Diceros bicornis minor: one gene and its partners. The protein of the gene in region 1 interacts with the protein of each later gene in a pairwise test. Links are inferred from orthologs where the notes say so. Each region holds a gene or a part of one and is shown in the gene's direction. Other genes may lie near its edges. The genes, in order: ARL6IP1, SNX10, MYG1 and SNX11.

The links.
Region 2: the proteins of ARL6IP1 (region 1) and SNX10 interact in binary tests that used the Homo sapiens proteins (3 or more experiments, as listed by UniProt). The two-hybrid records come from large-scale screens. The link is inferred for Diceros bicornis minor from reciprocal best matches to the Homo sapiens genes ARL6IP1 and SNX10.
Region 3: the proteins of ARL6IP1 (region 1) and MYG1 interact in binary tests that used the Homo sapiens proteins (3 or more experiments, as listed by UniProt). The two-hybrid records come from large-scale screens. The link is inferred for Diceros bicornis minor from reciprocal best matches to the Homo sapiens genes ARL6IP1 and MYG1.
Region 4: the proteins of ARL6IP1 (region 1) and SNX11 interact in binary tests that used the Homo sapiens proteins (3 or more experiments, as listed by UniProt). The two-hybrid records come from large-scale screens. The link is inferred for Diceros bicornis minor from reciprocal best matches to the Homo sapiens genes ARL6IP1 and SNX11.

What each region holds. Positions count from the first base shown.
Region 1 is NC_080765.1:33,439,458-33,446,589, forward strand, and holds the start of ARL6IP1 (ADP-ribosylation factor-like protein 6-interacting protein 1), read left to right. Parts: upstream 1-4,084; 5' UTR 4,085-4,158; coding exon 4,159-4,194; intron 4,195-6,379; coding exon 6,380-6,513; intron 6,514-6,951; coding exon 6,952-7,071; intron 7,072-7,132. UniProt on the Homo sapiens protein: Positively regulates SLC1A1/EAAC1-mediated glutamate transport by increasing its affinity for glutamate in a PKC activity-dependent manner.
Region 2 is NC_080742.1:51,251,740-51,259,021, forward strand, and holds the start of SNX10 (sorting nexin-10), read left to right. Parts: upstream 1-4,189; 5' UTR 4,190-4,307; intron 4,308-4,372; exon of another isoform or gene 4,373-4,500; intron 4,501-4,650; exon of another isoform or gene 4,651-4,669; intron 4,670-7,282. UniProt on the Homo sapiens protein: Probable phosphoinositide-binding protein involved in protein sorting and membrane trafficking in endosomes. Plays a role in cilium biogenesis through regulation of the transport and the localization of proteins to the cilium.
Region 3 is NC_080756.1:16,969,872-16,977,699, reverse strand, and holds the start of MYG1 (MYG1 exonuclease), read left to right. Parts: upstream 1-4,802; 5' UTR 4,803-4,817; coding exon 4,818-5,033; intron 5,034-5,193; coding exon 5,194-5,306; intron 5,307-7,764; coding exon 7,765-7,828. Other genes in the region: ESPL1 (separin), read left to right, coding at 64-265; PFDN5 (prefoldin subunit 5), read left to right, coding at 1,445-1,516, 1,690-1,792, 2,104-2,135, 3,069-3,143, 3,260-3,365, 4,377-4,453. UniProt on the Homo sapiens protein: 3'-5' RNA exonuclease which cleaves in situ on specific transcripts in both nucleus and mitochondrion. Involved in regulating spatially segregated organellar RNA processing, acts as a coordinator of nucleo-mitochondrial crosstalk.
Region 4 is NC_080757.1:37,807,686-37,814,802, reverse strand, and holds the start of SNX11 (sorting nexin-11), read left to right. Parts: upstream 1-4,023; 5' UTR 4,024-4,205; intron 4,206-7,117. UniProt on the Homo sapiens protein: Phosphoinositide-binding protein involved in protein sorting and membrane trafficking in endosomes. Regulates the levels of TRPV3 by promoting its trafficking from the cell membrane to lysosome for degradation.

The sequences.
Region 1 (7,132 bases):
TCATTATTTCCGGTTATGAGTTCTTAACAGTTTGCTAGGTGATTGTTAAGATTCTTTTGTGTCTGACACTTGTGGTGAGTTGTTTTTGAGATCTGTGAGATTTCTGTGTGAGAACTGATAATCAGCCTCTTGATCTGCTTCCCTAAATGGTTTTTTTAGACCCCAAACCCCAGGTTCAGGGTGAGGGTTTATAATACAAAGAAAAACTTCCATCACTTCTGCCCTTAACACTTGCCTCTGTTACCTTAAGGCTTAGTATGTAGTTTTCTTAATATTGTCCAATGTTTGGTGTTATCTGCCTTGGTTTAATTGCAGGTTTTTGTTTTTGTTTTTTAATTGTGGTTGTTCTGATGTGTGAAACTTAAGGAAAGAGCCATTAAAAACTGCCGAGCAGGGCAATGCAAGTACAGCCAAATATTACAGTTGATGTGCAATCTTAGTTCCTTTTAAATCTGGGGTTTTATAGGCAGTACTTTAAATTGAAAAGTCTTCCTGGCCTATTTTCCTCCACATATTTGTAATTACTCTGGGGGCTTACTTGTTTTGGCAGTACTAAAATCAAAGGAGCTGGTTCTTCTTTTCTCCCAATTCTTTTCCTATTGAAGAAAGCACCTACAATAAGCCTGTTAGTCGTATTCATATACATCAAAAATCAGTGACTGCTTTATTATTAGCAATTTAAGTACCTTTGTTTTACATAAAATTAGAACCATTGACCTTCCATTCTATATCTTCTTGAGCTTGTAAAATGCCAGTAATTTAGAGCTAGGACTTCCCCCCACTTAAATCAAGGAGGTAGAATATATTAAATAAGGGTCACTTAAAGAAAGTAGTTGGGTTGTATTAGAAAGTTTCCTCCTGTGGGGAAAAACTAGCTAGCATTATAGATTTTTCCAGACATTGGGGAAGGGGAAATTCACTGTATTATGAACCTCTTAAGGGTGTGTTGCACTTTTCCTGCTTTTTAGGCCTGGGTAACTGTCATCATCCCTTATTTACAGGAGGGCAAATGGACTCAGGCTGAGAGAAGCTTCATAGGTTCAGGGGTTAGTGGTACAACATGAACTGCTTAGAGTCTCTTGCTTTCTGTGGGAATTTGACTGGGCTTACTAGGGAAAAGCTGTTTGTTGTGCTAATGTAAAAATGTCATACAATTAGCTTGACTTTCGAAGATGGTAAACTTAAGGAACTGCTTGTTTTGAAATGCAGACTTGTAGAATGTTTTCTTTCTTTCAAAACAGGCTGATTTTTCTTTTTCTTTTCCTGCAAGTCCAAGTTTCAGCTCTTGTTTAAAGTTCTTGTGTCAGTTATTTTTCTGGTTTAAATTTCCTTATATTTCCAGCTGTAATGTCAGTGGCACCATCATACTTCACTTACTTGTTAATTTCCTTCACCCTTATTATAAGAGCAAATTGAGTTGAACTGAATCTTCCTTGTCCCAGTAACATTGTATAAATAAAGTGGCTTCTCTGTACAAAAGGTTGTAATGCCTCCTGATGGGTATAATTTTGTGATTGTATTTAAGATTAAAAGTTGAATAAATCACACCAGCTTCCTGAAAATGTTCGTAATGCATCTTTTGGAAAACAAAAATACATGCCTATGTTCTGCATATTTGCATTAACATGGCAAAGATTGTATGAAATACCTGTTTTTCAAAAAATAAAGTCTTAAAAGACATAGCATTTAAGCTCTGAATTTATTGGTTGAAGTAGGTTCCAGAAAACTTAATTTTGGAATATGGGTAGTTTTTTTTTTTTTTAAGCATTAATACCTCCAAAAAAATTTTTTTAAAGCTTAATTCTCTAAAAAGTAAATTTTTTACCCTCCAAGTTCTATTTTTGAACAGCAGTGGAAATTTTACTTCAGTGGGAAAGTTCTTAGTATTAAGGTACAATGTATTAAGCTTAATTTTGTCAATATTTAAACAAAACTGTAGAACATTATTGACATGTATGTTCCCTGGGGTATGAAAGCTCAGAAGGAGAACAGAATTAAAATGTCCAGCTTGTTTCATTATCTGGAAATCAGATTGCATTTGTTGCTGCTAGTTTATGTTAGGAGGGTTTATGTTAACTGTTAAGTCATTTGGCACGTTTCAAAAGATCACATCCTGTCCTTGTAGTACAAAAACAGCACAAAAGGAAGCTACGCTAAGGGTAGGCTTTTTTTTTTCCCTCTAATAAGGCCAATTGTAAGTTAAAGACAGACCTTACAGCAGCACTTAGGCTCTGAAGTTGCAGATAGGTCTGGGAACACATTCCTTGAGTAACAAAAATACTCCATGGAGAACTTCTGCTGTTTGAGTTACTTAAATTCTTTTCACCTACCTCAATTTCACAAGCTGGTGTTGAAAAGTCTTTCTTCTTAAGTTGTACATAGGGAACTTGGGTGAAAACCAGAAGCATTCTGTAGCAAAAGCTGATCTCCAAAAGTAGAAATGTCGATGTTTAAAGCCTAATAACTCCTTGGCCTCGCCTTTGGCAGTGAATGTTACTGTGCCTGTAAGCAAATTTTGCCTTCAAAGTGCTCAACATATGCACTATTATGTGGCTGCTGATTGTTAGGGACCTTTTAATTTTCTTTTGAAGAGGTAGGGGAGGGCTTGCGACTCGATAGCTTTAAAGTCTCCCAAAATGGGGTCTCTATGTGACTGCATACATCACCTGTTTTTTTCCCCCAACATCCCCCAAAGTGGCACGTTATTGAAGAGGCCCCTTCCCTTGCAAAGGCTCCCCCCCACCAAGTGTTGATACCTAATCCAGTTGCTTTATTTTTTTCACAGATCCATGGCAAATTTCACACCCTTTCATGAAATTCACAATGTTCCTGCCCCCCTGGTTCTCTTAGGAGCTGCATGTGCGCTATAGCTGTATTCTCAAATTTCTTTATGCCTTCCCTGAACTCTTAAGAACCTGGTAGTTATTTAAGGAATGCTTTTAAAGTAATCTAAATTCGATGGCATAATACAGATGACTATAAAAGGATAAAAGGCTGGAAGTTAAAAGCTATGATAAATTTTCCTGAAACAGACAATGTGACCAGGTCAACATTTGGCCTGATTTTGTTTGTACCAAGTAAAGAAAATCAAAGCACTTGTTAATGCATGTTGAAATCCTGGAGAGAAAAGGAAGTGTCTCAACATAGTTCATCTAATTCCTAAATTGCCTCTGAATCCCACGGTTTGCATCTTTCCTTAGCATGACTTACAGTGTAAGAAAGGTTCTGTCAAAACGAGTCCTTTTTTGGATAGGGAGCTCGCAGTTTCCTAAGTAACTGAAGTGCCCCACAAGGAATTTCCTTAAAGACTCCACGTAAATAAGCCAACTTGATAAGTCAGTGCATTTTTCACAAGTTCTCAAACTAGACCCAGATCCTCCTCCCTCCCTATCAAGCTAAGGCCGTATTACTAATGGGTAGGAAGGAAAAACTGCAAAAAATCTACATAAATAGCTCTTCTCATTTGTCCTCAAAACCTCAAGAGGTGGGCACGAGTCTCCGAGTCACAAGTCTGGGCTAAACCGCCCGGTGGCCTGACCAGAGCGGGGATTAGAAGAAAGGGGGAGCCGCCCAGGGGCACAGCGAGGGCGGGGGGCACCCGCCTGGTGGGGAAGGGGGTCCCAGCCGACCCCCTTCATGACATCGAGGTTAGCGTCCCAGGCCCATCTCTGCCCTCCGCCTGATATGCGTGGCATATTTCTTCGAGGACTAAATTCCAGAGAGGCTCCTTAGCTGCTCTGAACTCCAGCAGAAGAGGCTCCGAAGACGACCGCAGCGTCCACGCCTGGGGCCAGCGAGGCCAAACCAGACCCGGGGCGGCCGCATTTCAACCGCTGCCGAGAGGCCTGGGCGGGGCGTCGCACATCTCCTGGGCGCTGATTGGTCAGTCCCTGCCCCGCCCCCTCGGCCCGGAGCGGCCCCGCTCGCCTTTGACCTCGATTTCAAGCCATGCGCTGGGCAGCGGTTGGTCCGGCTCCCCTTAAGCTTGAGCTCGATCTGCCCAATGAGGAGCGAGCTTCGCGGGGTCTGTCGGGAAAGGCAGCCAGCCTATATAAGCGGCTTGCGGGGCGTACCCTCGCGCTGGAGTCGTTGTGCGGGTCCTGCAGTAAGGCTGCGTTGGAGGGTGGCTGGCGCTCGCTGAGCGGCACCTCGGGGACGATGGCGGAGGGAGATAATCGCAGCACCAACCTGCTGGTGAGCCCCGGGGCCTCGTCGCGGGGGAACCGAGCGGGGCCTGCGGACGTGGGTGGGCTCAGGGAGGCGGCGCTGCGGCCTCGTTCCTGTCACCGCGGCGGGCCCGGCCCTCCTCTCCCGGCTCCCAGGCCAGGCGACGACGCCTGCCCCTCGGGCTTCTTGGGTGGCAGTCCCTAGTCGTGTGGACCCCTGACGTCCCCTGGGGAAGGTGCGGACCGGCCGAGGAGGGCGCGTGATCAGTCACGAAGAGGGTTGAGTAGGAAGTGGGCGAGGGGGCTGTGACGAGCCTGGGGTGCAGCCTGGGCCAGACGGCCGCGAGGGGCCTGTGGAGCGCTTTGGGGGCCCAGGCCCCAGCCGCATCCGGGTTTCCCCCTTCTTGATCTTAACCTGGATGTCCTTTCGTTTTTTTTCCCCCCAAGACTTGGACAGGAGTGGAGGGTCAAAGGGCTGCTGCCCGGTTGTTAGAGCTGGCACAGCTTAAAACGGCAGGGAGGCTGCGAGTTCGCCGCGGGGAACTGGGCGTGGGGTCCAGCTGGAAGGACAGTGGGCGTCCTGGCGTTGGTCTGGAATTTGTAAGCCTTTGGGGGGGGTCTCAGGACGACTTCAGAAATAAGCAGGGGTCCGAAGGAACCGCAGTGAGATGGTATCCCAGGCGGGCAAGTGTAACCCCTCTGCGAATTTCACGGCATGATCTAGGCAAAAACGAGAGAAATCCGTGCATTTTCTCCGTTGCCTTTCCCCAGGGAAAGACAGGCCACACGCCACAACCACAATGAATAGAGGAACCAAAGAATTTAATTTTTCACTTTTGGTTTTTCCGAGAGCCCAGGTGCTAACGAATTAAGTGACTTTGCAGGGCAGTTTTGATTGTGCGTGATTTTCATTTTGCATTGGTTTTTAGAAACGCATGACCTGCCCCGTTACACACACAGACCACACCCCTTCTCAGTGCTGTGCTTAGTTAGCCCTAGCCAGGTTGCTTTTAAGAGGATTGACTGAAGCACAAAGAAGTTGCCCAGGTTCACACAGCTGTTGAAATGACAGATCCTGGCCTGGTGCTCAGCTGCTCTTGCCCAGCAGAGCAGTGTAGCTTTAAGGGGAGCGAGGCCTTTGACCTTATTTTTTCCTGGATTCACATCTGTTAACCTTTGTGTGGCTCAGCTTCCTCTTCTCTAAAATGAGGTTAGTAACGCCACCTTCCTTTTAACTTTTTGGGAGGATTAAAATATAAGCATATAAAATACTCAGCAGAGTTTCTGGCACATAGTAATTGCTTATTTAACTATATTAAGCATAGTATATGAAGTCAGAAATATTGACACCTAAGTGTGATCAGTGTGGCTCAGATAGCATTTTCATTAAGATTAAGCTGCACTCTCCCCTGTTATTTGCATGTTTCCCTGTAATAACATTTATAAGGACATGTTCCAGTTTTTTTTCCTCTACCCAAATCAGCTTAAGGGCTTTTTGCCGCATTAGCTCATCCTAGAAGTCTGCTTTCAGCTGATAGTCAGATTTGCAGAGAAATTTGAGGTCTAACTAAAATGTCCTGATAAGTGTAAGAAGCTCTGTATTAAGGAGATATATTGAGCTAAAATGCTTCTTATAATTTGGCGAGTTTTCCTTAATTGTGTAAATGATGTCAACATCTAAATGATTCCATTACACAAAGAGCTATTTTAGAAATTGCTGTTCAGGGAGAGGCTTTCCTAATGGATTTAGAAGGAGGGGTTTAAATCAATGGAATGACAAAACAGCAGATCAGTTCTAACTACCTGAAATGGGGGAATTGAAAGTGATCTAATTTTATACTTTGGGCACTGCCACTTAGTGCATGACTTTGGGAAAGTTGGTTAACCATTCTGAGCTCGCTTTCTTTCATTGTAAAATGGATCTAATTGTCCCTACCTTGAGGGGCTCTATAAGGATTATGTTACATCGTGTATGTAAATAATAGCCCAGTACTTGGACTTGGACGGGGACCATTAAATGATAGTTTTTTCCCCATTAATTTCTGTCTTTGGTACGAAAATTGCAGTTTTTTGGAAACTAACTTGTTTAAGATAGTGATTTGGTTAAGAGCTATTTCACACACACTTGGTGCCTTGGAAGAATTTAACTCTCTAGGAACCACAGAAATGTTGAGAGTGGTAAAATGACCGCTTTAAATGTTGGTCATGCGTAGGCTGCAGAGACTGCGAGTCTGGAGGAGCAGCTGCAAGGATGGGGAGAAGTGATGCTGATGGCTGACAAGGTCCTGCGCTGGGAGAGAGCCTGGTTTCCACCTGCCGTCATGGGGGTGGTTTCTCTGGTGTTTCTGTAAGTGCACTGTTCAATTGCTATGGATTGTGCTTGTTATTAGTAAGGGCTCAGGTCATACACAGCCTTCATTTAGTCTTTTGTGTAATGTATAATCTGTAAAGAATGCCTTTCCTTAGAGCAGTTCGCCTAGTTTTCAGAATTTGTAGTACTTATGTAAACTCAGTAACCTAATGCAGTTGAATAAAGACCCTTTGCACTCCTAAAAAGTATTGAGGACCCCAAAGAGCTTTTGTTTCTTGGTATTTGCATTAACCATTGCAGCTATGATGTCATCATGTCATGAAGCTTTTGGAAAACCACTTGTGAGAAAGTTAGAATGAAAAGGGCAAATAACATCTTTGAGAACCAGAGGACTCAGTGAATAAGCATCTTCAGCTGGGAATAATAATAACTATGGTTTTCTAACCTTTATTAATTTTTTTTTTTTTAAAACAGGACTATCTACTATCTAGATCCATCTGTTCTGTCCGGTGTTTCCTGTTTTGTTATGTTTTTGTGCTTGGCTGACTACCTTGTTCCCATTCTGGCACCTAGAATTTTTGGCTCCAATAAATGGTAGGTGGCCCAAGGATTTGGCAGTCTAATTTCTGAGAAGTTCCTGAACCTGGTGGCTGTG
Region 2 (7,282 bases), on another chromosome or scaffold:
TCCAAGATCGTTGGAGCGATCCCTAATGAGGCGACTTTTGGTGGGCTCCTGGATAGCTTCCGGATGGAGGCTGGTCACCAGAAAGACCAAGCCATGATTAGAAGCTTGGAACTTTCCACCTCACCCTCTATCCTCCAGGAAGGGGAGAGGGACTGGAGACTGAATTAACAATTGATCATGCCTGTGTGAAGAAGCTTCCATAAAAATCCTGAAAGTAGGGGTTCAGAGAACTTCTGAGTTGGTGGCACATCTACATGCCGAGAAGGTGGCACACTCCAGCTTCATGGGGACAGAAGCTCCTGTGCTTGGGACCCTTCCAGACCTCACCCTAGGTACCTCTCCATCTGTATCCTTTATCATATCCTTTATTATATAATAAGCTGGTAAATGTAAGTGTTTCCCTGCGTTTTGTGAGCCATTCTAGCAAATTATTATACCCAAGGACGGGGTCATGGGAGCTCCAACCAATAGCTGCTGGATCAGAAGTACAGGTGACAACCTGGAACTTGTGATTGGCATCTGAACTGTGCACAGTCTTGTGGACTGAACACTTAGCCTGTGAGATCTGATGCTAACTCCAGGTAGATAGTGTCAGAACTGAATTGAATCATAGGACAGCCAGCTAGTGTCACAGAACCGCTTGATATGTGGAAAATCCACACTTCTGGTGCCAGAAGTGTTGTGAGTGTGGTAGTAGTGTGAGAGTAAAGCAGAAAGATGGGAGTTTTTTTCTTATACGGTTGTGTAACGACGAGTGAACACATAGCATGTCACGTGGTGATAATTCTCATTATGGACATGTTAGCACTTATTGTAAATATTGGTCTCCTTACCTGCTTTTCTACTTGTGATAAAGCACGAGGATGTATTATTCTTAGTGCTTCACCTTTGAAATAAAAATTTCAACTACTCGTCTTTCAAACTTCTGAATAGTTTAAATTGAAGAAAATCTTAAACTGTTGACAAACTGTTACTATTTACAAATACTTCTCTGAGTAGATTAGGATTTTTCTCAATACTGAATAATCAAATAGAGAAATAGATTGGATGTGGACACTGATAGGACATTCTAACAATCACTCACAAACCCCTGATTTCAAATGTTGGTGTTCAACAAAGCAACTTCCCGTGGTCATGTATTTCTTTATGATAACAAATGTTACAAAATCAAATTCTTTAAATAAATGTATAGTAATAAAACACTGTTTTTCTCTATTTTATAAATGGGGTTCATTTGAAGAAAGGATCCCATTGTTAAAAACATTTGAAAACCACTAAATTGGACCATTGTAAAGAGGCTATTGTAGGATTCTGAGGGAGTTGAGAATTTGGACAGGAGGAAAGCAGAAAGTGAGTAACACCAAGATCTGACCATGAAGAAATGTATGGGACTTGGATTTGAGCGGATTGGAGGAATGCAGCAGGTCAAAGGCAGTGCTGAAGTTAGTAGGTTTGGGGTATTAACTGAGAGAACAGAAGTCCACTAACGAAAGTAAGGAAGATGGAGGGGTAGGTAGATGGATGAGAAGTCTCAACCCCTTTATCTTACAAATAGCTAATCAGGCTCAAAACTTTTCTCTAGTCTTTTTTTGGGAGAGGTGCATAAGAGAGATATTACATTAGATTGACAGTCAAGAATGGTTATTTTTATTCACCTTGATCTGTATGTGTTCGTACTATTGAAAAAAGATTATGATTCTAAGATCAGAAATCGAAAATCCAAATTATTTGTCATTTGTTTAAATTTTTTGCTCACATCCCATTATTGGTTGGTTGATGAATGATAAAAACCATTTTCCGTACATTATGAATATCTGCCGCGACAGTGTTTCTCAAGAAGGCAGGACCATTTATGTAAATTTAAAGATAAAGAGTTTTTGATGTAATGTTATGTAGTATAGTATCAGTTAATTACAATTTCTGAACACCAAGTCCACACAACTTCCTTTTTAAGCGTCTGTGAATTTTGCAATTTTCCCAGGAGATGGAGGATGGACTCAGTGTCTTCTTACTGACTTTTGAGTTAGAGGCAGGGGCTGGAGGTGGCTTTCCTTAATATGACTAACTAAGGAGATGAGGATCAAGTTATAATAAAAAAAGTTATAATAATGTTATAATAAAAAATAAAATTTATTGAGTACTTACTATGTACCCAGCACAGTTCCAAGAGCTTCCCCTGAGTCATTTCATTTAACCCCCTCAACAACCCTATGAGGCTGGTGCTATTATTATTATCCCCCTGTTTAAGATGGGAAAATGAGGCCCAGAGAGTTGAAGTTATTTTCTCAGGATCACATAGTGAGAGGTGGTAAAGCTAGAATTTGAACCCAGTTAACCTGACCCTAGAAACCACCTTTGAGGCAGGATTTGTGTAGGTGAAAGAATTTCCTCTTAAAAGCAATTTTATGGTGATTTTATCAGCAATTTAGGGTTTCTTAAGCACGAGAGAGTCCCAGGTTTTTACCTGCCCACTAATGGTATAAAAGATGGCAATCACTTAGCTTAGCCCCTTGGATTCAGGTTGCACATTACAATTCTTAAAGCCAGAAACACACCCAGCTGCTACACTGCTGGATTGGATTAAAATAATCCATTATTGCTTCATTCTAGTCTGAATTCTTTTCATAGTCTTCCTTTCTGTTAGGGCCATACTCTTAACATATTTAAATGACCTCCTATAGACTACCCAAAGGTTATCAGCTGCTCTGTCCACAGTTTAAGGTCGTGCTCTTGAGGATAATAAATTCAGAAAGATTTTAATTTTGCAGAATCTCTTAGGATCTTAGACACATACCGCATTTTGCTTTCCAGTCAATGCTTTTCTTTGTGGAGCATAAGGACAAGAATTTGAAAAATACACTTTGATTTGATTTTCAAAAGTGAAATTTTCAGAATTTTCAAAAGTGATTCACTTATGTATTATGAGTTGGGTGCAATTTTAGGAAATTAAGTCCCAGGGATTCAAGATTCAGCGATGCAAGTTCCGGATCCAAGATGTTAAGACACAACATTGTAGACTTAGAAGTTTTGTTATGCAAGGCCAAAATTTAGGAGTGGAGGATAGAGAGGTACATTTTCAGGTAGGCCTGGAATGGCCCTGAATGGTAATTGGCAGCCGCCTGTCTATTGGGAAAATTCATCCTTGAAAAATGAAAAAATTAGGCTACGTTTATTATTCTGTCGTGTAATCGTGCATTAGCAGTAAGTGATTATTGCATTTCTCCATACTGTTAAAAAGGAGACAACAGGCCCAAAACCGAGTCACCAAACAGAGACTTAATAACGAACTTAATTATACTTTCTGCCTCTCCCAGGAATAGAAGCTTAAACCAGTCAATCTGGAATTACCTGGTCAGCGCTAGTGAGGTGATCTGCCTGATAGACCCTGCCATCCCCTAAAGGAAAGTGACCTTGCCACCACCAATCCGAATTTTGCTAGTGTGACTTCCTTGTCCCACTCCCTTCTGCCTATAAAAGTCTTTCTTTTGTACAGCCACTCAGAGCTCGTTCTATCTGCTAGATGGGATGCTGCCCGATTCATGAATCATTGAATACAGCCAAACAGATTTTTGAAATTGACTCACTTGAATTTCGTTTTTTAACAATGCAAACAGGTGGGTCAGACTCAGCTCAAGATGCCATTTGGGAAATGGCTTACTGATTCAGGCTCCTTGGAAGATCTCATTTCTTTTCCCCAAACGTTTTATTATGAAAGATTTCAAACATACAGAAAAACTGAAAGATTTTACAGTGCACACCCATATGCCCACCACCTAGATTCTACCATTAATATTCTACTATTCTTGTTGATCACCCTGTCTATCCATCCCTCTCCCGATTCAGCAATCCTCCCCATAACTAAGCGGGCGGGGTTAGCAAGCTCATGGTGGCTTTCTAGGGGTTATTCCAGAGGGTGCCGCTTGCACACCTTCAGCCTCAGCGACCGGGCAAGCGGGGGTATTTCCTCGCTAGCCCGATCTGCGGACGCGGGGGGCGGAATCCGTGCTGCCGAGCGCCCCTCGGCGGTGGCGCCGGAGGTGCGCCTCGTCTTCCGCGGGCGGGAGGGCCGGGCGCGGCCAGCGGCGCGGCCCGCACCTGTGCTGGTTGGTGCGGTGGCGGAAGCAGGAGGCCCGGCGGCGGGCTGAGCGCCGGCGCGGGGCCGCTACGTGCGCGAGGAGCGCGGGGCTGCGCTCGGGTGCGCTCCTGGGCGCTCGCTGCCGCCGCCGCCGCGCCTTTGAGTCAGCAAACTCCGCCGCCTGCCGGTCCGCTGGCCCTGCCCTGCCCGGCCCTGCCCGGAGGAGCCGCCTGTAAGTGACAGGAGACCTGCCGGGGAGGCCTTGCCCACGCCGCCGGAGTGGGGGCCGCGGCCGGGCGGCGAGCCGGCAGCCCTTTCCTTTCCAGGGGCGCGGGGCACTTCCCGCAGCGCCCAGCTCCCTGCGGGCGGGGAAGAGGTTTGGGTCTCCTGGGAGTGGAGCCGGAGCTGCCTCCTTTGCAGCCGAGGTGTGCGGGCGAGGACGGAAGGGACGGGGTGTGCTTGCCGGGGAGGGCAAGGAACGTATTGATCCAGGGGGTCACGGCTAAAAAGACACCGCGGGGAGAGGGTGGGGCAGAGGTGGAATCCTGGATGCCAGGAAAAGTGCTGTGGCACCTTACGCCAGGCCAGGTTTGGGTAGGTATTTTTTTATTCACGGAAGGGTAGCTTTGAGTTTAGAAATCGGGAGGGGTGGGCAGGGGTTTTTTTGTGGGTTTGTGGGATTGAGGGAAAAGGCCCGGGAGAAAATCCACGTTGACTGATTACCAGGTTTGGTGCCACCGGAAAGCAACAGCCTGTTTTTCAGTTCTGATGCATCATATTCTGTAAGATTACACACAGGTTATTGAGGGAATGGTCACAGGGACGGAAGAGCTTGAAAGGAAGGGCTTCTATTTCTGCAAGACACGTTTCCATGTAAGAATAATGGGTTTAGAAATTTAGAGCAGGAAGGAGGCTTTCACGTGATCCCGTAGGACAGGGAAACTAAGGCCCGGGAGGGGAGTCAGTCAGCCAGACGCCCGCAGAAGCAGGCCCAGATTCTGGTGGGCTTCTGACTTCCGCTGCAGAGTTCTCCCCACGGTTGGGGACGTGCGGCGGGGGTGGGCTTGGAATGCAAAACTCCCTCTCCGCGCCTGGGCCTGAGGTGGACGCCAGTGAGAACCGGCAAGCTCTGCTGGGGCTCCTCAGTCCCACAACGGAGGTGAGGTGGGGTGGGGGTCTCCTGCCTCTTCTTCCATCATCCAGGGATGCCTGTTCCTAAGGCCTTTCTATTTTCTTTTTAAGGAATGGCAGATTTAAGATTGACTAATGGGACTGTTTTGAATATACAAAAATAAAATACGTTTAGAAGTAAATACATGAAGGTGTGAGGTAGGGTGATTAGCACTGACTTGTGTTTAACTGCTCATCCTGTTTCTTCTGCCAGTCCATTTCGTTCTCACTTCCGACGTTACTATTTCACCCCTGAGGAAATTGATGTTGCAAGAGTGGGGTCTTGCTCGGATGACACTGCTTCTCGCCAGGGCTGTCTTGTCTGGCAGTCTGCTTCTCTCCCCGCCGCTCTGGGTTGTGGTACCAACTTCCTCTTGTTTTACTTATGGGAAGGCCACCTGGAGCTTGGTATCGAAAAATAGAAATAAACACCTTCATTCTTTTCCATATGAAAGTGTATTAATTAAAGACTAATGTTTGTGTTCTTCTACAGCAATTTTCCATGCCCTTGGAGCACTCTTAGTAGATTTTCTCAGCCTTAGGATCTCTACCTTCATTTTAAAGGGTTCATTCTGTTAATTAAGCTATTGTGGGAAATGGCTTCTCTTTCCTCTTTTGGTGTCTGGTCTGTGAACCACTGGTGAAGGGCTTAGAACTGGTTGGACCACAGTCTAACCTCTGCAGACTTTCATTTCTAAGAGTGGCAAAGAAGGGCTTTTGGCCAAAGTGACGTTGACCTCCATGGGGAATACCGCAAATTTGGGACTATTTTTACTGACCTCTTTCTTTCTCTTGTATGAATAGTGGGTATGAATCAGCTCTTCTGTTCGCTAAGCCCTGTTCAAATAAGAGATTGTACGAGGTAGTGGTTACAACTTCTGGTTTTGGACTTATCAGAGTTGAAATCTTGGCACTGTGATTTGACCTCTTGGCTGAGGTACTGTCAGCAGGGCACTTAACCTCTCTTAAGTCTGATTTATCCTTTATTCAGGAGTAAAAAAAGGTAGTGATAATCATTGTCTGTCAGAATTGTTGGTAATAATAGCCGACGTTTATTGAACACATATTATGAGCTAGGCATTGTGAAAAGAGTTTTTATGTGGCAGTCTCATTAATCCTCCCAACTAACTTATGAAGCAGATCCTATTTACATCTGAGGAAACTAAGGCATCAAGATATTTATGACTTCTCTAAACTCTTCATAATTTTAACCACCCAGCAAATGTGTCTCAGATTTCTAATATAGCTAATAATTATTTAGGGCTTGGTGTGTGCCAGGCCCTGTTTCAAGGACCCTATGGATATTAACAATCCTTGAGATAGGTCCTGTTTTTATCCCCAACCCCCCTTTTTTTAATATACAAATGAAGAAACTGAGGCACAGAGCCTAAGTCAGACAATCTAGTAAATGATGGAGCCAAGATTTGCACTAGGCAGCCTGGCTCTGGAATGGGTACTCTCAGCCACTCCCCTGTGAAGGTGTGTAAAGGGCTCAGCCGGGCGTCAGTCAAGGGCAACTCTGAACTGGCACTTTATTTTGTTTTTCTCTAAGTAGCCACTCCCTCTTTCTGGTCTCTGCAGAGGAAATGCTTTTAGTTCTGTAAATGATGCAACTTTGCTTAGGATTTTGTGATTCTGTATACATTTCTGTTGTATTCTCTTATTTTTAAAAGCTTGTGATAAGTGTCAGTGATCTTGACCCTGGGAATACAGAGGGAGACCTTAGGAAGTCTATGAACCCCCTGAAAATGTATGGTTTCATTCTCATGTGCAAAAGTGCATTGTTCTGAGGGAGAGAGTCCGCAGCTTACTTTAGAGTCACCCACGGTGGAAAGAAAGGTTAGTACTGACTGTTCTATTCCGATAATCTCATTTGACAAATGAGGCAACTGAAGCCCAGTGGAGAGGCAGAATAACTTAATTTGAACTACAGAGCTAATTAGAAGTAGAAAGAGGACTAAAACTCAGGTCTGTTGACTTCCAGACTCATATTCTTTGCATCATACCCCAATATTTCCCTTTGGAATAAGTGGTACC
Region 3 (7,828 bases), on another chromosome or scaffold:
ATGTTTTCCTGTGTATTCTGTTTTAGAGCCTTTACTCTGTATTTCTTCCTTCTTTTTTCCCAGCCCCCTGTTCCTGGGTAACCTCTGGGATGTGACTGACCGTGACATTGACCGCTACACGGAGGCTCTGCTGCAGGGCTGGCTTGGAGCAGGCCCAGGAGCCCCCCTTCTCTACTATGTCAACCAGGCCCGCCAGGCTCCCCGACTCAAGTATATTATTGGGGCTGCACCTGTAGCCTATGGCTTGCCCGTCTTCCTGCAGTGATCCCTTGGAACTGTCCTATCGCTGATAGAAGCCATGTGACTGTTCTACCTCCAAACTTAGATTTAACCCTTAGGGTAAATTTTAAGTGATTTTCCCCAGTGTTTTATATGAAACATTTAACATTAATGTAATAAAGACACATTATTTAAATCTTGTTTTGTGTAATTCATTTGAAGACAAGACTATTGCCCCCCACCGACCATGTGGTACTATAAACAGATGAGAACAGCTCACAGGAGTTCAAGTCTGAGAGCCTTGGGGAGAAAGGCAAAACCACAGGACAAAGCTGGGCCTGGCTTGGCCTCAGCAGACAAAGCTGAAGGAGAGAGGGGCATCAAAATGCCTTAAGTGGGGACAGAGGCCCAAGGAAGGGTAGAGAGAGACCCACTGGGAGCGTCCTGAGCAGGCACCATCATTTCTGTCCTGTCTTCCTGCCCTCGGGTGTCCTGGCAGTGACATTAGCTTTAATGCCTCAGTTGCCCCCCCCAACTCCCAAAGTTGGACGTTAGAGGCCGTTCTCTCCCCACACACAGCTGTTACACTGGTCGGTGCCGTGCACTTCAGCAGCGGATTTTGTGGGGCTCCGCTGTTTATGCATGGTTTCTGTCTCCCCAAAGAGATTGTTAAGCTCCTCAGAAGCACAGACCTCTCCCCTATCCCTCCATCTAGCACACGGTAAGACATTGCATTGATTAATAAACCTTGTGCCGTACTCGTCCGTTGATAACGTGGCTCTTGATCATGCTCTCCACCCCTAGACTCCTCAGCTTCATGCCGACAGCACCACTTTCACGACGCTACTCCCCCTGACCCCGCACTTCCCAGGCGTCTTCCTTGACTCTCAGTCACCGGGTTTATACCATCCACGTGGAGTAGCATACATTGCTTTGCAAAATTGCGGTTATGGCCTGAGTACTTTTAAGATTTTTAAGTTCCTTGAGGGCAGGAGTCCTGTTTGCCACAATTTTACTACGCTAGGCTTGGGATGTCTTATGCAGAGAACGCACAACTACCTTCTCTCATCAAAGGCGAGTCTGAGAAGCTCAGCCCCTCCCGGGACGGGGATCATAGAGATGTCTGGCGCAGCGAGGCCTCCCGCGCAGCCATCGAGGCGCGCAGGGGAAGGCTAGAGCGCTGCTCGCAGAGCCGCCTTCCGCTTCGCTAGTTCTCCTCCCCAACATGGCGCAGTCGGTTAACATCACGGAGCTGAACCTGCCGCAGCTAGAAATGCTCAAGAACCAGCTGGATCAGGTGGGGACGGGCCCCAGAGACAGCCCTTTCCCCCCTCGCATCCCTCCTGCCCACGCGTACTCCCTCGCCCCCCTTCCTCCCCACTTTGGGAAGCTTCTCTTCCCAGGTGAAACCCCCATCAGGTCCCAGGACCCGCAGGTTCCCACTCTGACCCTCTTTCCCGTCCTCTGTAGGAAGTGGAGTTCTTGTCCACGTCCATTGCTCAGCTCAAGGTGGTACAGACCAAGTATGTGGAAGCCAAGGACTGTCTGAACGTCCTGAACAGGAGCAACGAGGGTATGGGGTAGGCGTGTGAAGGCAACCGGGGGGTGTGGCGAGCCGGCTTCCTCTCTCGTCCCGCCTCCTAATCCAGTTGCCCTTACCCGAGACGAGAAAGCAATCCGTTACATATTGTCTGCCGCTACACGAGCCCTTTGCATGGTGCCTGCCTAGCATTGAAATGTACAGGACATTCCTCTGCTCCTGTTCCCCGTTTCCCTTCTTTTCATACTATCTCTGGGCGCTGTGTCATGTTGGAGTTCCCTTTTAACATCTTAACGTCGGAGGTGCCCACCTTCCCCAGATGTTTGTCTTAATTGCTTTTACAGGGAAAGAATTACTCGTCCCACTGACGAGTTCTGTATCCTTTCCACACGAACTGCTACCCTGCCCTCTCCTTTTCTCCTTCCCCCCTCCCCAAAAGGGGTGGGAGGTAGTTTTGATTATTCCAGAGTGCCCCCATGGTTCTGAGAACACTCTTATTATACACACTTCGTAGCTCTCCTGTCTAACCTGGGGCCAACATCCAGTCAATGCCTTGTGAGCAGGAAATATGTAGAATTGAGGTGTGATTATTTCCTTTTGCTGTTTGAGGATATAATCTAATATGGAGATAAAACTGGTGGTTTACACTTTTACTAATAACTTAGAAGACATAAGCAATAGAATAAGAGGATATAGAAACAAAGGGATTGGCTCTGTTTATTAATCCTCAATTTCAGCTTAATTGTGGCTCTTATTCCTAACCTTTTGTTACTAAGAAACCTGGGTTGTGTCTACCTGTTGAGTGTTTTACTTGAGTAAGTTATGACAATAGGGCACCTGGAGACTAGTCTGAGAACTGACAGGCTAAAAGAGAAACACAGGAATAGCAGTGTAGTAGGGATTGGCTAGATAATGAGCACTAAATCCATCAGGAATTAAGTAGTTCATAGTTGGGAGTGCTGAGGGGAAGTGAGGCTGGCTTTTCACTTTTCACACTCTACAGCAGTGAGAATATATTATGTCTTGTCTTTCTGGAGGGGCTAATGGGAAGAATTGTAAGAACTGCTTGGAGGTGGGAGATGGGATCAGGGTAAAAGTGTTCCAGCCTATGTCATTTTCTCCACAAGGAACCAGCTTCTCTGTCTCTCCCCATTTGGAGTTTATAGGTATAGTTCTAGGGCCTCCAGATGATTCAGTCCCTGTGCCTCGGAGATTTTTAGAGAAGGAGGGTCTTAGAAAGCCAAGCAGGCTAGTGACAGGGAATCATGACTCCTGCTGGGCTAGTTTTCCCTTAATCCTTGCTTCTCAGATGTATGTCCCTGGGAAGCTGCATGATGTGGAACACGTCCTCATCGATGTGGGAACTGGCTACTATGTAGAGAAGGTGAGTGGGAGGAAGCATGTGCATACTCCTGTGAGCGGGGAAAGGGAGTTTAGGGGAAGACTAGAGTGCAGCATTGGAGTCTCCTCTTAGCTCCTCATTCACCTCTGACCTTGCAGACAGCTGAGGATGCCAAGGACTTCTTCAAGAGGAAGGTAGACTTCCTCACCAAGCAAATGGAGAAAATCCAGCCAGCTTTGCAGGAGAAGCATGCCATGAAACAGGGTAAGGTTGGCCTGGGGGCACTGCTTGACCCTTTCTATATCTATGATAGAGAACATGGATTGCAGGTGAACCAGAGGGGTGTCCCCTTTACTGGACTAAAACCATGTCTTTTTCTTTGGTGTTTTGATGTGTTTATTCTCTAGATTCTGTGCATTACATACCTGCTATTTGTAGATTCCTGGGGGTGGGGCGGCGTGGAGACAGTGCTTGAGAAATTGAGAGGAAGAAAATCATGTCTGTGCCCTTGTGGAGCTCCTATTAATTAGGATGGAATGGGGGAGAAGATACATGTAAGTGAACACAGGAAAGAAATAGAGCCATGGGCCGGCCCCGTGGCTTAGCGGTTAAGTGCGCGCGCTCCGCTGCTGGCGGCCCGGGTTGGGATCCTGGGCGTGCACCGACGCACCGCTTCTCTGGCCATGCTGAGGCGACATCCCACATACAGCAACTAGAAGGATGTGCAGCTATGACATACAACTATCTACTGGGGCTTTGGGGGGAAAAAAATAAATTAAAATTAAAAAAAGAAAAAAAGCCTTAACTAAGTACCAGCAATTGCAACCCTGGCTGCTGCACATTAGAATCATCCAAGGAGGTTTGAAAAGAAAGCCTGGGCTCATCCAAACCAACTAAATCACCCGGGGGGTAGGGAGGGGGATTCCAGGGGTCAGTGTTTTTTAAAAAGCTCCCCAGGTGATTCTGTTACACAGTCAGGATTGGGAACCACTGTTCTAAAGGCAAAAATCTTTTCCACATTATAATTTCCTGGTTATGTCTGACTCATTGAATACTGTATTTTGTTCATTTTCCTATCCCAGTGGTTATATTGACTGACACAGTGTAGACTCTAAATTTGTGTTAGTGTGTGTCCCCCACAGTGGATCACTGTTAAAAGTTTTATTAACAAACTGTAGCAGGTTGTCTGCCTGTCCTTAAACGTCCCTGTCACTTTTCCTGACCTCTAGGTTCTCTCCTTTAGCTCCTGACCAGGCTCTGACTTCTTTTTCACAGCGGTCATGGAGATGATGAGCCAGAAGATTCAGCAGCTCACAGCCCTGGGGGCATCTCAGGCTACCGCAAAGGCCTGAGAGCTTGTTACCGAAATGGGGCAGAGGCATCCGCTTTAGCGGCCTGGGACTTTGTGGGCGTGGCTTCCTGGAGTCGGGGAAAGTGAAGGGTCTTGTGTTTCTTGCTAATAAACGTGCCAGCGGGACAGAATGTCGGTCTTTTCTTGCGTTAAGCAAGGGCCTGGTGATGAGCTGGGGGCGGTGGTCGAGAGGGTGTGCCCCTCCCCCCTCGCCGGAGCCTGATAAGCTTGGGAGTTGCGTACTCGGGAACCCCGGCAGCGTGCCCTCCCTACAGGGCGGTTACCGTGGCAACGGCCGAGAAGCGGAAGTGGGGCTGCGCGTCCGCTTCCGCTTCCGGGTCCCCCCTCCCCCGCGGGGAGGCTGCATGGGCTGCCGCTTCCTGCGCGGGTTGTTGCCTCTGCTGCGGCCGCCGCCACCCCTGGAGGCCCGGTCCCGCATGCTCGGCCCCGAGTCCGTCCCGCCCCCCAAACGACCCCGCAGCCACCTCATGGCACCGCTCCGAATCGGGACCCACAACGGCACCTTCCACTGCGACGAGGCCCTGGCGTGCGCGCTGTTGCGCCTCCTGCCCGAGTACCAGGTACGGTCCGCGGAAACGGACCCTGGGACCGCCCCTCACGAGGGCCCTGTGGTGGCTCGGGCCCGAGCACCGCCCCTCCCCGCGCGACTCCTCTGGACACCCAGTTAATCCTCTACCCGCGCGACCCCTGGCAGTCCCTCACCTCCTGTGTCCCCTGCAGGACGCAGAGATTGTGCGGACCCGAGACCCCGAAAAACTGGCTTCCTGTGACATCGTGGTAGACGTGGGCGGCGAGTACGATCCTCAGAGACATCGATATGACCATCACCAAAGGTGGGTTTCCAGATTCCATGTCTTTAGCTTCCTTGAACTTTCCTCAAGTTCAGCTCCACTTCAGCCGTCCGCTGCTGTGGTCCGTGTAAGCCAAGGGATGTGCCTGCCTCATCCTTGAAAGCAAACTCTTGAGTCCCATGGGACTACAGCCCTCCATCCTTCCAGCTCTGCCTGCTCCGGGCCCATCCACCTGGCCTTGGAGCTCCCTGAGCCCTGGCATCTGTCCCGGCCTCCCTTGTCAGTCGTCAGGCCCCTCCCCACTCACCTTCCTTGGCTCAGTCAGGCTTTTCACCCCCCAGCACCATCATCACCCCCCCTAGTACCCCAGCTATTCATGTGCCTTTGCTGCCCGGCCTCAGACTGCTGGGCCCGCGTGATTGTGCTGGTTGCTGACCGTTCAGATGTGTGTGGTCTTCTGCTTCATTTACACTCTTCCATCGGGAAATCTTTCTTTTTCAAGGGTACTCGGTTGTCCACAATACCGTTCCAATCCTTTCCCCTCTCCTCAAGCCCTACCTTATCAGACTCCCTCAGTGTGTGATCCTGCCTCTTAACTTTTCAAAGGAAATTGAGCTTTTTCTGCATGCACGTCCTCAGCTCCCTCCTTCCAGCTCAGGAAACACTGCTCTCTTCTGCTTGCCCCTTTTCCAATCTCTTGCTTTCTCCTCTGGGACTCCGCATCACAATTCTCCCACCAGTGTTTCTACTTCTCCTTGCCTACAGCCTAAAACTCTGCTTGAGCAGCATCTCCCGTCTTGGAAACAAAGGAGTGAATAAAAAACAAAACCTCCGCACATAAACCACACTGTTTACAGCGGTTACTGCTCAGGGATTATGAGGAGGTTTTATTTTAAGTCTCTAAGTACTTCTCTCCCTTTCTCTCTCTCCTTCCTTCCCTCCCTCTCTTTTTTAAGTATACATATTACTTTCATAAATGATGTTGGGAGGGAACCCTCCTGGTATTTACAGCCTAATCTCTCACCCTCACTTGTCAGCCAGTCTTCAAAAGAAGAGCTGACCCTGGCTCCACATCCCTTCCAATTCATTCCTTCATTCAGCCGGTTCTCTCCCAATCTCGCCACTGGAAATGCTCATGGAAAGGGCACCAGTGACCTCAACACCAAACTCGGGTTGCTGACTGAGGGTCTCACCTTAACTGACCTCTTTGTGGCACTTGACTATTGACTACTTCCTTTTTCCTAATGATTTTATACACATTTTTTTAAATTACGCACTTTTTGACACATAGAAGAATGTATTGAACATTTCTGGAATGTAAAACATAAAATGAATACCCATGAAGCAATCTCCCAGCCTAAGAACTAGAACATTACCATTACCGTAGCATCTGTACCTGTGCCGCTTCCCTGCTGCATCCCCTTCCTCCCCCAGATGTAGCAATATCTCGAATTTTGAGTTCATCATACCTTTGTTCTTGTGTATAGTTTACCAGATATGTCTGTTTCCATCAACAATTTATTTAGTTTTGCCTCTTTTTGAACCTTATGTGGCGGGTTATTGTCATTAGTCTTTATACCTTATAAATATCTTATATTTTTTGTATTTACTCAATATTGAATAATAAGTCATTAAAACAAAAAACGAGCTCCCTAGGTGGTTGTGGCGGACCGGTATTTAGAAATTACAGCTGTAGTTTCTACTTCCCTAACAACTGTCGTACCTTTTTCCTGTTCTCTGTCCTATTGCTGTTCAAACTCCTGCCTTCCTCGCTCACCTGGACCTGGTAATCTGGAGCTAATCTCCTTGCATCTGTTCTCCAGGATGCTGGCTGGCACAGTGCTCTTCCCTGCTTCAAATCTCTCAATGGCTCCGCATCACCCACAGATAAAGTTCAAACTCCAAAGTGTGACGTACAAGGCCTGCCATGATCTGGCCCCTGCCTACCCCTGCAGCTTTATCTTTTGTCACTCACTCCTCACACCCAAGCTGCCTCACTTGCAGTTCCATGAGGAGCCCTGTTTCTCAGCCATTGTACGTGTTGTTCTCTCTACTTGGAATGCCTTTTCTCCCTCACCCTTTTGTCTGGTGAACACCCACTAATTCATCTTGCAGGAATGACCTGAAGGCTCTCCTCCTGAACCCTTTCCTCATCCCCTCCCCCCTTTTCCTTGTTTAAAACTAGCTGGAGCATTCGCTTGCTTGTCTGCATTTGTCTGCCTTTAGCAGATGAACTTGGGGGACAGGTCTGTTTTTTTATCCCTAATATCTAAAACACAAAGCCTGGCATGTGGTAAGCATTGAGTTAACCACTGTGGAGTGAGTGCACGAATGGAGACTCCAAGCCAAGGTCCATGTTGACCCCTGAGGAGGAGCCAAAGCCTCTACAACTCCGGCAGTATTCCCCAGCCTCCCCACCCCACTTGTGCCTGCGTGCCCGCACACGCTGTGGGCTAACTGGAGCCGCTCTGCCTCAGCCCCGCCTCCCTGTGCTCCTCAGATCTTTCACAGAGACCATGAGCTCCCTGTCCCCTGGGAAGCCGTGGCAGACCAAGCTGAGCAGT
Region 4 (7,117 bases), on another chromosome or scaffold:
TTTTTGCTGAGGAAGACCGGCTCTGAGCTAACATCTATTGCCAATCCTCCTCCTTTTTTTTTCCCCCAAAGCCCCAGTAGATAGTTGTATGTGATAGTTGCACATCCTTCTAGTTGCTGTATGTGTGACGCGGCCTCAGCATGGCCGGAGAAGCGGTGCGTCGGTGCGCGCCCCGGATCCGAACTCGGGCCGCCAGAAGCGGAGTGCACGCACTTAACCGCTAAGCCACCGGGCCGGCCCTTAACCATTTTAAAGTGTACAGTTCAGTGGTATTAAATACATTCAAAATGTTGTGCAACCATCACCACCATTCATTACCATAACTCTTTTCATCTTGTAAAACGGAAACTCTATACCCAAAAGACTCCCATTCCTCCCTCCCCCTACCCTGGCAACCACCATTCTATTTTCTGTCTCTACGATTTTGACTACTCTAAGTATCTCATATAAATGGAATCATACAGTATTTGTCTTTTCGTGACTGGCTTATTTCACTTAGCATAATGTTCTGAAGGTTCATATGGACATATGTTGTAGCATATGTCAAAATTTTCTTCCTTTTTAAGGCTGAAGAATATCCAATTGTATGTATGTACCACATTTTGCTTATCCATTCATCTGTTGTTGGACACTTGGGTAGCTTCCACGTTTTAGCTATTGTGAATAACGCTGCTATGAATACGAGTGTACAAATATCTCTTCGAGCTCCTGCTTTCAATTCTTTTGGTTATACACCCAGATGTGGAATTGCTGGATCATATGGTAATTCTATTTTTAATTTTTTGAGGAACTGCCATACTATTTTCCACAGTGGCTGTACCATTTTACATTTCCACGCACAGTGCACAAGGGTTCCAATTTCTCCACACCCTCACAATGCTTGCTGTTTTCTGCTTTTTTTTGATAGCAGTCATCCTAATGGGTGTGAGATTCTTTGTTTCATTTTGACTACTACTTGAAATTCTGTTGTTAAAGATTTATTCATTTGGGGTTAACAAGCTCTCTCTTTTAAAGGCAAATATGCTTAAGAGCTAGCTGTCTCTCTTAGCTTCCCTGGTCAGTCTGATTCTCATGTGACTTCCTAGTAGTAACTGGACTCTAATTAAAACCTATACTTCTCCATTCATGACCCATAGCCTTGACAGTGACTGGTTTTCTCAAGTGAAGGGATCACTACTTGGAGAGGTACTTTTATCATTTGCTAGCATTTCAGGTGTGATAAGGATTAGCCCCATTATCATGTGTTAGAAATTACTGTTGAAAAAATAAGCTAGCGATAGGGCACCTATTTGTGAAACCTGTATGACATTCAAATTATTTAATGAATTTATTTAAAAACATTTATTGAGTAATATGTGGGGCAATGATACTAAGCCCTTATATTCTTTAGAATAGAAGCTCCAGGAAGTCAGGGTACTTTCCTATTTGGCTGCCTGTTTTATTCTTAATGCTAAAACAGTTCCCAGCCCACAGAAGGGACTCAATAAATATTTGTTGGATGAATGGATACCCTCTGCATTTCTCCAAGTGCAGTCTACAGACTCTGGAGGTGTCTGAGATGTTTCAAGGAGTCTGAATGGTCAAAACTATTTTCATAATAATATTAAGACATTATTTGCTCTTTTTCATTGTGTTGACATTTTCACTGATAGCGCAAGGGCAACAGTGAGTGAAACTGCTGGCACCTTAGCATTAATCAAGGCAGGGCAGCACCAACTTGTACTAGAGTCCTTGTATTCTTCACTGCCATGCCTATGCAAAACAAGAATTAAGAAGCCATTTTCACTTAAGACTATCCTTGAAGAAGCAGTACAAACTATTAATTTTATGAAATCTCTCTCCTAGAGTATGTCTTTTTAATGTTCTGTGTGATGAAATGCGAGATGTACACAAAACACTTCTGCTGCTTACTGAAGTATACGGTTGTGCAATTGTTTGAGACGTGTAAACTGAACTAACTGCTTTTTTTCATAGAACACCATTTTTATTTGAAAGAATGACTGACGGAAAAACTATGGTTATTCAGACTTGGATATTGGATATTTGAATGAAGTGAGCCTGCCACTTCAAAGAAAAATGACTGAAAGTATTTTTGACAATGATAAAAGAATTTAAACTTCCAAGCAAAAATGGTAATTTTAGAAAATGTGGTATCCACTGCAGTGAGCTTGTCTGTTTCCCAAGATTTTCTTGATGAGATTAGAGATGATTTTAATAAATCTGATTTTTTATGTTGAATAATGAAATGCATCAATATTTGGAAGAGTTGCATAACTTAGTAAATCAATGTTTTCCAAATGGTTTCAGATTCCTCACTACTATTAACCTTTAAGAAATTACCATTTGTTGAGTTTTGCTAGTATCAAAGAAGAGTATCCACAATTATTGGAGAAGGCTAAAAATACTCCTCCCTTTTCAACTATATATCTCTGTGAGACTGGATTTCTTCATTTCCTATGCCAAAATAATACAGCACAACAGAGAGAATGGTGTCAGGGTGGAAAAATTTTCCTTCTACCCTTCTAGATTCTTTGGCTGGTCTAACAATTAAATTGACATAAGACAGATTAACAGGAGAAAAACAAATTTAATTTTGTACATATGGGAGCTCCATAAAAATATGAGACCCAAAGGCAGGCAGGCAATTGAGGCTTAGATGCCATGCTAAGCTAAGAAATGGGATAGGGGTCTGGGGCTTCAAAGGGCCGGAGGGAAATACACAGGAAGATAAAAAGAGCAGATGTTTGATGATCAGATGTTTGCCCTGCCATGCAAGTAAGTCTTTCACATAAAAAGTTATCTCTGGTAATAGCTCTTTCTGGGCCAGGCCCCCTATCTAAATTCTTTTAGGTAGTTAAGGGAGAAGTCAAAGTTTTTCTTGAGTCTGCTGGGTCTTGATTACCTTCAGCTCAAAATAATCCACATGCCAAAGTGGCATAATTTGGCATGGCATATTCTGCTCCCTTTCAATGGGGGAAGCAAATATGAGAATCCAGCTGTCTTCTATTAAGCCAAACATTAAAGAGATTTGCAAAATGGTAATACAATGCCACTCTACTCACTACTGTTTTTTTGTTTTATAAAGTGTAGTTATATTTCATAAAATATATTAACATGTAATGGTTTATTGTAATCGTTTTTAGGTGAATTAATATATAAATGTTTTTGAATTTCTCAATTTTAATTTCTAACTCAGTGAATATCCCACAAAAACAAAAGCTCCTTGGGGTCCTTAATCATTTTTAAGAATGTAAAGGGATCCTGAGACCAAGTTTGAGAAAAGCTGCTTAGAGGTATGTGCAATAATCTCCACTTTACAGATGAGGAAACTAAGACTTACAAACATTTAGGACCAGTTTAGGGCCACACGGTCAGTGTAGTGCATGCTCGGTATGGTTCCAAGGTTGTCTAACCCCAGAGATTGGATCTGTGACCACAACTTTTTCATTGATATTATCTTTGCTAAAATCATCTTTAAACAGGTTAAAAGACATTTCAACAACATTAAAAAAAAAGTCATCATATTCAACGGATTTTTCTTTCTTACTAACTAGCTGCACGATCCTTCTTTGGGCTCGTTTCGTCGAGAGAAACGTGCGTTGCTGGGCAGTCTCAGTTCGGTTTTCGCTCTGACCACCTGTGGTTTAGGAACCTGAGTTGAAGTTCCCTTGATAACTCCGCTGAGGAACTGCAACCTGCAGAGTTCAAATGGGGACTCTCCCCAGACTCAGCGAAGCTCCAGGAACGTGGGCGTTTCCTTCCCCGGCCCTCCCACACCCAAGACCGCCCTTTGCAGAACCAAAACTCCGGTGACAACCTCCTCACACCTCTCTGCTCCCGGGACCCTTTTTCAGACCGTCACTGACGCTACCTGGCCGCTGATTGGCTGGGCCTGACAACGATGGGCGGGACGCGGCCCTGGATTGGACGTCAGAGCCCATTCGCCGGCCCTCGCCCGCGTGCACCTTTCCGCGCCCACGTGAGTCCCGGGGGAGCCCGACTCCCGCCGAGGCCTGGGCGGGGCCCGCCACTAAGAGTCGGGGCCTGCAGGGCCGGGGCGTCCTGGGCGCCCGGGATTGGCGTGTCGGGAGGCGTCTCCCGTCGTGCACCGGAGCACCGGCGATTCACCCGGAAGGAGAAGCCGCGAGTGGCTATATGGTGGGGGCGCCGGCGGTGTTCCTGTGAGGAGTGGGTGCTGCTCTCAGGTGAGGGGGCGCGGGCGCGGCCTCGGGGAGTGCGTGCTGCTCTTAGGTGACGGCCGCCGGCTCGAGCTTCTGTAGTGGCGCTTGGGGTGGGGACCTCGCTTGACGTCCTAGGGAAGGGGCCGTTTCATCTCTGGGATGAAGGCGGTGCTTGCTCGGGATCCAAGGAAGGAAACCTGGCTTTTCTACTAACTTTTAAAGTATATAGTGTCTTTCCTTCCCACTCCCCAAGCTTAATAGGCAGAGGAGAAGAAGGACCATGTGGCCCTTTTGCTCCTACTTCGTTAAGAATGGAGGGGGAGTGGCCGGAGTAAAAGAGTTGGGGAACGTTTACCCCAACGGCTAGGACTAGGGGTAATGGCAAGTATTTTATGGGAACACGGGAGGCTCTTATGCTAAGTTGTGGTCGCCTTTATGACTTATCTTCCAAGTTACAGATGGAGGGAGGGATGGAGCAGAATTGCTTGGTTGAGAACACACAGAGCTTGGTCAGACAGGGGAGCTTCCTTCACCACCTGTGAGTATTTAGGAAGGAGAGCTTTTTTGAGTTGCTGTCTGCCACCAGGGCTCAAGAATGAGTAAGAAGAAATGGGAGTCTCAGTGGCGCAATATGCTTTTATCACCTGATATGGTTTTTAATCTGTCTCTTGAAGTAGTTTATTTTTTTATTTTTATTTAAAAAAAATTTTTTTTTTTGTGAGGAAGATTGGCCCTGAACTAACATCTGCCAATCCTCCTCTTTTTGCTGAGGAAGACTGGCCCTGGGCTAACATCCATGCCCATCTTTCTCCACGTTATATGGGACACTGCCACAGCATGGCTTGACAAACGGTGCATCGGTGCGCGCCTGGGATCCGAACCGGCGAACCCCGGGCCGCCGCAGCAGAGCACGCGCACTTAACCACTTGCATCACCGGGCCAGCCCCCTTGAAGTAGTTAGTTTAAATGGGAGTGAAAATGGTGGAGCTGAAGCCTTGAATTGTTATGACATTGGAAAGGTTTACAAGGAATCTACTTTGTGAATAGCAAACAACTGGGTTCTCCCTGGGGCCATTGGTGCTGGTACAGGTGGAGGAAGTAAAGGAAACTTCAGATGTGACTGAAGGGGCCTGGAAGTGTAGCTAGCACTTAGTGAGTTGCATAAGTAGCTGAGAGGGTCACTGACTATCCTTATTTGGATGACATGCAGATCTATCTCTCAGATCACAGAACTCACGGTAGGAACTTCCTCCTTTCCCTCCAAGGGCAGAACTGAGCTTCATTTCCTTCTGAGGAGTGGCATATATGAGTAGGAAGCTGATGGAGAATAGTAGTTGCTAGAAATTATTACTTGGAGTCTAGATTTTTGTATTTGTTCCAGTGTTTTTAAGGAAAGTTACAATTGAAACATTTTTAGTGCCCTTTAAACTTAGATTTAAGTAAACTTAGATTTAAGCATCTTGGAGGTCCTAGTTTTTTTTTTTAAACTGTGTATAGCTATTTGTTTCTAAGTGGTATTAGCCCCAAAGGAAAAGAGAGGAACTTGGGCTCAGAGGTTGTGCATAGCCCTAGGCAAATTCTTCTTGATCCTGAGAATGATGACCATTTAGTTACTAAATTATGGTCCTGAATTTGGCAAAGCTTTCTAGGTACAGGAGATGTGTGAGCTCCACTGAGTGTGTGGATAACTGATTCCATGTCATCATCTTTCTAGTGTTACTTTTGTGAAAAGACACTTCAGAATATTTAACTCTCTGCTCCTGTGCTGGCAATTTACCAAATGCCTGAAAAGAGAAGAGAAAAAAATTTTTTTTTAATCCGAGGTGGTTAATTGTTCACCGTGAGTTGGCCTGTTCTTTTGATCACAGCCATTTCACTGCTTACATCCAGGATGTTACACATCGGTTGCTGTGGAAGTGGAATTTCCTACCTTTCAGTCCATGACCCCTTTGCGATGGTGACTGCATCAGATGAAAAATCAGATTGTCAGCAAGATTACTGTTTAAGATGGTATTGCAATCACAAAATCTCTGGTTCGCTCAACGGTACAGCCCAATTTTGTCATATACCATGCAGCTTTGTCTCTGCATGCAGTATCTATGTGTGGAGAGACCTTCTGGTGTACTGGAAAGAATTGGAAAAGCTGTTTGCTCTGCTAATTTTGTGGTATAAATGAGTTCGCCTTCTCTTGAAACATTAGCCTTGTGTTAGCAAAACATAAAATAAAAGGAAACTCATTACACACTCTTCTAATGGTAAGGCAGAACTAATAAGAGAATGTGTTTAAAATTAATTGTGGGACTGTAAAAATGAGTGGGTGTGTGAATGGGCATGGGGGGAGGAGAAAGAGAGCATAGAGATAGTCTCATTTTCCCAGGAGCCAGCCCGAATCATTTGTTGGCAGTACATATTGGCTGAAGTCAGTTTTCATTTCAAGGTAAATTGGAAAGGGAAATTAAACCTTATTGTTCCGCTCTTAAGAGGGGAGAAGGGGGTGGAGGCGGCAGCCAGGGTGGATGCTGTTGGAGTGGTTCTAGGAGTAACAAGATTAGTGCTGTATTTTAACAGAAGGTGACATCATGGGCCCCTTTGGACTTGAGTAACCCTGTGCTGCTGCCTTCATGATCCCCTTGTCGGAGTGGGCGATGTCGCTGCACATGTAAACTGCCACATTGGGGGAAATCAGAGGCTTGGGCTTTAATGAATCTTTATAAAGGAGCGGAAAACATCCTCAGCTGACCTGTGCAGCTGTGGGGTGCTTGGGCAGAGGTACAAACCGGATGGCATGTCAAGAGAGGAAATGATTAGAACCATTGGCTTGGGTTCCGGAGAACGGATTAGATAAGGGAAGGTTGCAACTGTGCAACCCACTCAGGTGCTCCCAGAGCTCTCCAGCTCTAGGATTTACCTCTGGGGAAGTGACTGTTGTTAGCAAG